2 linked regions of the Oreochromis niloticus genome follow. The protein of the gene in region 2 interacts with the protein of the main gene of each other region in a pairwise test. Links are inferred from orthologs where the notes say so. Each region holds a gene or a part of one and is shown on either strand. Other genes may lie near its edges.

Region 1 (3,752 bases), on a different chromosome or scaffold from region 2:
TCTCCAGCATTGGAACCATCATCGGTTTTTTCTTCGGTAACCTTCGCTCACGCTCTCGGTTGATTTTTCTCTAGTCGGCAAACTCCTATCCTTCATTACCCGGGCTGCACGGCTGCAAAAACAAATACGCCTTGGCGCTTGTGCTGCACGTAATAAGTCACGTGACGTGATGCTGCGGCTGTGATTGGTTCGGCTCTGCACTACTTAATTTGGATTGGCTGTTTTTTTTTTAGTTTTTTTTTTTTAAGAGGACAAGAGAGATGAGGCCTATCGCAATAGTTTAATTTTTCTATCGAGAAAAAGTTATTTCGCAATACATATCGTTATCATTTTATCGCCCAGCTCTAGTTTTATCCTAACCCGGAGTTATGGTCCCAGGAACCAGAAGCTTCATTACGTCCATTAAGGTGCACTGACAGGTCCAAATGTGAGCTCCACCATCACCTGATGAACTTCCTCCAAAAACTTCCATATATTTAACAAATCCGAGTAACACGCTAACTGTGACAGACTCAAGGAGGTGTCCAGATGTTAGGAATGCTGGATGATTAAAGAAAATGAAGGAGAAAATAAGAAGTAAAGCCGAGGTACCGTGTTCTCGGATCGCAGGTTAGCGAACTCGCTCTTCTCCAGGATCACCATGTCCTTCCTGATGGAGTCCAGGTGAGCCATGATCTGCTGCAGGGCGATCTCCTAAAGAGAGAAAAGTCTGTCACTCTGTTGAAACAGCCCGAGGGTGGAGCTCGTCTCTGGTTCCCACCTGATGGGATTTGGTCACCATGTCTTTGTAAACGACGTCCATGTTGGCCGTGGCAAGAGTGACCAGAGCTGAGACGATCAGCTCCGCCTGGCTCTTCTCAAAACCTGCACAAAAACATCCGATGAGTACTCCGTGTTCCAGCGGTACTACACGCCAACACGCCTGACAGTGACCTCACCGCTGCTCTGCAGCTCTGTGACCATGGCGTGGGAATCGAACGTCAGTTTGCGCTGCTCCAGCGGCGTCAGCTCCACCTTCCTCACATCGAAGGTCGTCAGTGGCGCCCCCACATGGAGACCTTTAACACACACAGGCTGCATCCATACACTGTACAGGTGTGCACACACACAGGCCACGCCCCTAACAATGCAGACATTAAACTTTGATACAATTTAACCAGGTGAGTTAGATCACAGTGTAAACACTGCTGTGGAGCTGGACTCTGATTGGCTGTCCTTCATTACTGACTGGGTCCAGAACCAGAACCAGGACCTGATTTATGACCGTTTCCTGTTGGAAATTATGAACTACATAAACGCAGAAACGTCACAGTGACCGGAAACCAGCGTGTCTGCGGTGATTTGGTGAGTCTGTCAGAATTTTGGGGTCCTCTGCCTCACCTCTCCACGTGACCACCCGCCGCCAGAAACACCTCCTCATGAGCGCGTTCATCCCGGAAGCTGCTGTGATTTCAGAGTTTTTGTGACGTTTATTTAAAAACTTTGGAGTGTTTACACACAAACACACACAGCGCTCACAAACCGGAAACTGTCACACCGAGGAAGGAGCAAGGCCCTACCCATGCTGCATTCAGGGACCGTGGGTCACAGAAAAGACCGTGACAGTTTGGGAGACAGCGCCCCCGGCTGTGAGGGTGTCAGCACCGTTTGTGCTTCTTCAGTTTGGACCGGAGCTCTCAGATGTTTACATGTAACACACTTTATCCAAAAAGAGTTAGAGAGGATGGAATATGACAGATCAGTGTAGTTGTTGGAAGTGTTCAGATATTAATTAGCAGTGAGCAGGACGAGTCCATCAGAGGGACCGCTCAGGGTCGGAGAGGCTGACCTGGTTTGGACATCTACAGAGGAGACAGGGTGGAGGCAGGAGGAGGAGCTCAGGGGAGGTTCATGGATGTAGTGAAGGAGGACATGCAGAGGGTTGGTGTGACACAGGAGGATGCTGGGATAGAGGAGGTGGAGGTGGACAGGACGATCAGCTGTGGTGCAGAAAGAGGAACTTTAGGACAAAAAGTCTAAGAAAATTTAAGAAAAGAGAAGTGAAATCAGAAATTACGAGTATTTAAAAACAGAAATAAAAAGATAGCGAGTTTAAATAGTTTTTAATTTTCTTCTCTGAAACTGAAAGTTTTTCTTTTAATGACCTGAAAGGTTTTAAACGGGGGAGGAAACTTCAGTGTGTGACATTTAAGACTAGCACAGACGAAGCTCAGAATTCCGACCTTATGTGTCGACATTTAAAGTATCATAATAAAGACGAACTTTTTTTTTTTTACATAAATTTTTAAACGACACAGAAACGACGAACTGAGGACTCGGAAGCTCTTAAACTCTGTTTAAAAAAATAAATAAAAACAAAAACAAAAAAATAAAGTTCACTGAGGAACTGTCCGCCTCGGCTTTGTCAATAAAGTTTGAAGCAGACGTTAGCAGGCCGACTGTCATGGCGGCGGACAGCTGCAGCTGGTTCCCGGCGTTAGCTGTGGGAGTTTCTCTGCTGAAGTGCTTCTTTATCAGCGCGTAGTGAGTCCCAAGTCTTCCTCTGTGTCACCGCGGTCATTACAGAGCGGCCGTTAGCCAGCAGCACGTTAACGTCATTTCCTGTATGCGATGACAGTTAGGGGTCTGCGAGGGGGCAGGTGTGCGCGGATGAAATCGTTTAGTTTGACTTCGTGTGAAATCCGAGTTTGTTTGAACTTGAACCCGAGCCGTCATCAGCTGCAGGCTGGGCCTCAGTAATTCGCCGTATTTCTTTAGAGGTTCGGTTTGGCGCTGCGTGATGACGTTTTACACAGGTGATTGACCGTACAGGTACACCCCAGATCCAACAGGCGCCATATGTAAGTCACTCCGCCGTGTCTACTGAGCTTTAATGAGTGTCAGGAGGCTCAGAGCCCGCGAACGTCTCATGAAGCGCAGTGCTGCGTCTGTGAGGACCGGATCACTGCGGGAAATCTCCCGATTAAAAACATCCCGCGTGTTTTTCTGTGAGCACAGCGGATGAATCGGATCTTTTTATATCAGCGGAGTCAGTTTAAACCACTGAAACATTCGGCATTAGTACAGCCCAGCTAACACCTCTGTGCTCTGTAAAAAACCTAATACAGGTGCCCACAGTGTACAGAGCAGTGAGCCAGAGACCTTTAACCCTGAGACACGTGACCTTTGTGGTCCATGTGAAGTATGAAGTTAAGAAATGAGAAAGTGTTTGAGTACATTAGCAGATTTTTCAGCTCAGATTGATCCTCTGACCGGTAACAGTTCAGGTGTTACTGACTGAGCACCTGCCTGCTTTCCTTTAGATGAACGTGTGTATGGTCACTGTTGCCTCGGTGCAGGTGGTGCTCCTCAGGTGGAGGTCAAACGTGTTTAAAGCTGAAGCCTCCGTCTGTCCAGCTTGGTCTGTTAAACTGCTGTGTGTGTGTGTGTGTGTGTGTGTGTGTGTGTGTGTGTGTTTAGCCGGTCGACGGACTTCGAGGTGCACAGGAACTGGTTGGCCATCACGCACAGCCTGCCCGTGTCCAGGTGGTACTATGAGGTGAGGGAGGAGGAGCCCACACTCACCTGTAAAATGAAAGCATCTGTGGGTGAGGAGGCGGCGGGAAAGCTCGCTGATGTTTGACGAGGCGGTTTCTCTCCTGCAGAACACGTCCGAGTGGACCCTGGACTACCCGCCGCTGTTCGCCTGGTTCGAGCTCGGGCTGTCTCAGGTGGCGCGCCGCTTTGACGCAAACATGCTGCAGGTGGAGAAC
Region 2 (3,752 bases):
TGGCTCAATGTACTCATAGTACTACTCACAGAACTCCCACTTGTGCTTTCTCTCTCCGACCCCCCAGCAAAGCTCTCAGAGACAAACTGCCGTATGCTGTGGGACCCAGGGTCAGAAGAAGAAGAGGGGGCAGGAGCTGGGGTCTCCTTATCATAGAAATCAGTGCAAGTCCATCTGCCCTTTTTGAAGGGCTCAGAGCTAGAGTCCAGCTTCACCACTCTAAAGCGAGAGCTTGTGGTGGTGGCCACCACAGGGGCCGCAGGAACAGATGATACAGGAGCTGTGGTCGCAGCTGTAGCAATTGCACTCACAGGCTGCTGCACAGCTGATCCAACTCTTCCATGGAGCCCGCTGGGGAGCCCTACGCCTCCAGTGGCACTCACAGCAACAGTAGTTGTAGCAGTCATAGCAATGTTGGAGTTTAAGTTTTGGTGTTGCTGGATCATGCTAGCGGGGGCCATAAGGTTGCTCCCAGCTGGAGCAGCAGCACTTCCTCCTCCACTCCCTCCACTGCTGCTCATCACATTGAGAGGATAGCCGCCACTGCTAGTGCTAGCACTCGTGCTGATCCCCCCTCTCACAGGCACGTTGGCAGAGCTCAACATATTCACATTACTAACACTGCTGGTCTGGGGATTAACTATGCTAACTGTATTGCCAGCAGCAGAGCTGTGCATTCCAGGGATAGATCCCGGGACTGCAGTCCCTGTAGGCTGAGTGGGGATACTTGAAGGAACAGCCTGGGAAACACTCTCTTGAGGGCCGCCCATATTAGAAGGCATTTTCTGAGTGACACAAGGTAAAGCTCCAGAGGTGAGACCAGACGGGGTGCTCCCGGAGCCAGAGGACAGAGGGTAGACCTGGGCATGGTTAGGATGTGGAGGATGTTGATGGTGTACAGTCCCATTCACCATGGCTCCACCGTGCTGCTTCTGTGCCTGGTTCAAGGTGTGGGGGTGTGAAGGCTGATTTGGAGAGACCGCTCCAGGGGTCTCCGCCTCATGGAAATTATTCAACGTCTCCTCTGAGGAGCTTCTCTCCGCTCCAACTACATCATTAGCTCGGGAGAGGGACACATCCAGAATCTCAGAAGATGACAGATCCTCAGTGTGGGACTCATCCAGGTCGTCGTAGCTCTCAGTATCCTCTGCGATGCTGTTATTGGTACTAACAGATACCTGTGCTGGAGTCACACTTGTGATCTGGAAACCACTCTTCTTCTTTATCTGAGCTCCAGTGGACTGTGTGGGCTGGGGCTGGGAGAGCAGATTTAGGCTGTGGGGGGGAGGAGGATGATGGGGACCCGGGGAGGATGAGCCAGCAGGAGGTTGAATCAACAGGGAGGGCGGGTAGTCATCGGCTGGTACGTGGCTGTTATTAACCACCGGGTTAGCTGATGTTGACAGCCCAGGGCCGCTCCCGCTGCCAGTGTTGCTCCCCCTTCTGTGAAAGACAGCCTGATGCGCCATCTTTCTAACACTGCCAGAGTCTCCTGCAGGGTCCGGATGATGCATTTCGAGAAGATCCGGGCGGTAGTTGGTCTCTGACAGTATGCAATAAGGCTGCAGCTCGTTAAAGGCGCCGTTTTGACAAAACTACGCTCAACAGACAAACGACCAAAAAATTATCTAGAAAAAAACAATAGATATTTCAACGAAGTGCGCAGATATGAGGCAAAAGTTGTGCCGATATTTACACCCTTGTCTTCTTTCACTCGCTTCGGCGTTATCCTAGCGAGGCAAAAGAAGCTAGTGGCCGCTAGCGTCAGCTGATGCCAGTTCGCCGGTTAACTACCCGAGTTGTCCGTCTGCGTCTTTGTTAAACACAAGCTAACATTTCTGTATGTTTTGTTGAAGAGAAAAAGACGCCACGCTGCAATGAACACAAAAAGCGGGCAAAAAAAGCTGCCGAGTAAGTTAGCGTTATATTAAAAGCTAGCTAGCTGCCACTCTCCATCACCGGCTAGCTAAACACAAACTCGGCTGTTTAAACTGCTGGGTTTTTTTATTCTTATTCTTTTAACAAGAGGAAACGAAGCGAAAGAGAGCCACCTTTAATCCGCAGCACGAAGCTTTAAAAGGCGAAACACTTCTAATAAAAGCGCCGTAGACGGGTTAAATCCATTCCTCTGGGTCCTCGTTTGGGTTTTGCTGTATCACTGGTCCTCCCCGGCGGTAGCGTCGTTCAGTATGGAGCCTCCCGCACCGCTGCCGTGGTTTGCGCTGTCTGTGACGGGGCCGGAGGGGAGGGGTGAGCAGTAATATGGCGACCGCGCATGGCCGCTGCTGCCAGACATAAAGCAGTCTGGGAGAGGCGGCCACGAGCTCACGTCAATATCCACGAAGCGTGCCGGAAAGTGCCGAGCCCAGCCGCTCCCTCCGAAAACCAGTTTAGGGCTATCACAATAGGTTTTGTTGGTCTTTTTGAACCAGAGGAAATCAGTATGGAGTCATTATAGTTTTGTAGTTTCTCATTACTTTAAAAGTTTATTCAATTTTGAGTTTTTTGTTTTTCATTCAGTTTAGTTTCGGTTAGTTTTCAGATCGGATTTTCTTGTTTTTTTATTTTTATTCTATGGAGGGTACAGAGAGTACACGTTTTTACAATAAAAATAACTTTTACAAAGTCTTATAGACATCCGAAGTCTCAATTAACATCAACAGTCTTATCAGACAAGTTATAATAACATTTTATACCAAACTAACATATTAAACTAAGCTAATTTCCTTTTTGTTTTTATAGTTTTCCAAGTTCACACAATTATTTCAGTTAGGTTTTATTTTGTTTTAGAATCAGAATCAGAGAAACTTTATTAAGCCCAGAAGGAAATTGAGTTGTCATAGCAGCATACATAAAACAGACGATAAACCAGTCTTATAAAAAGTGGAAGTAGCATTACACCAATGGTACACTCTAATAACCTTAGTCAAAAGATCCAGTATGGCTCACTCTAATATTCTTTGTAGAGTGGAAAAACCTGCAGGAAATACTCCAGTTTTATAAATAAAATGCATTACAGTTTCTGACACAGGGGATGCCAACATAACACAGGAGTGAAAATGGAAGTAAATTTAAACATATTTCTAAATCAAGGCAAGTTGTTTGAATTACAAAAACACAAAATACTCTTCTTTAGTTGAAAAAAAAGTATTTAGACCCTTAACTGAAAATCAACATCCACCGTAAGTGATGGATTACATACCTGTGGAGGTAAAGAGATGTCTAGGAGAGAGGGCAAGGGACTTTTTCACCAGACTAAATCCTAGAGAGAGAGTGTCTGTGAAGAATGGAGCAGAAGTGTGCTGGTACTAGTTTTCAAGAACAAGGGTGATGTGAAGAGCTGCTGAGCCATACCATAAAGCTATGGAGGAGATCAGGAAGGAGTCTTTGTGGACTATAATATTTGCAGATGATGTTGTGGTCTTAGTGCAAGCAGGGAACAGGTGAGAGAGAGTCCAGAGAGGTGGAGGTATGCTCTGGAGAGGAGAGGAATGAAAGTGAGAAAAAGCAAGACAGTATGTGAGTGAGTATTAGTAAGATCTGCTATGATGTATCTCTTGGAGATGGTGGAAGTAACAAAAAGACTTTTTTGGGGGACGTATAATAACTCAGTTACCTACATTAATACTAGTTTAAAGAGAGGCATTCGTTAAAAACAAAGGCTTGTAGTTTCAGCCACTAACTTGAAAACAATACAATGATAAACTAAATAATATAAACCTGAATTCTGTGTAATGATTAATTTTATGTCT

The links.
Region 1: the proteins of TSC22 domain family protein 1 (region 2) and ccdc90b interact in a two-hybrid assay, tested with the Homo sapiens proteins (2 studies listed by BioGRID and IntAct). The link is inferred for Oreochromis niloticus from reciprocal best matches to the Homo sapiens genes TSC22D1 and CCDC90B.

What each region holds. Positions count from the first base shown.
Region 1 is NC_031975.2:32,755,711-32,759,462, reverse strand, and holds the start of ccdc90b (coiled-coil domain-containing protein 90B, mitochondrial), read right to left. Parts: upstream 2,153-3,752; 5' UTR 1,433-2,152; coding exon 1,381-1,432; intron 1,059-1,380; coding exon 939-1,058; intron 865-938; coding exon 761-864; intron 694-760; coding exon 592-693; intron 1-591. Other genes in the region: alg8 (dolichyl pyrophosphate Glc1Man9GlcNAc2 alpha-1,3-glucosyltransferase), read left to right, coding at 2,444-2,523, 3,460-3,538, 3,645-3,752.
Region 2 is NC_031987.2:11,265,168-11,268,919, forward strand, and holds the start of TSC22 domain family protein 1, read right to left. Parts: upstream 2,300-3,752; 5' UTR 1,515-2,299; coding exon 1-1,514. UniProt on the Homo sapiens protein: Transcriptional repressor. Acts on the C-type natriuretic peptide (CNP) promoter. Acts to promote CASP3-mediated apoptosis.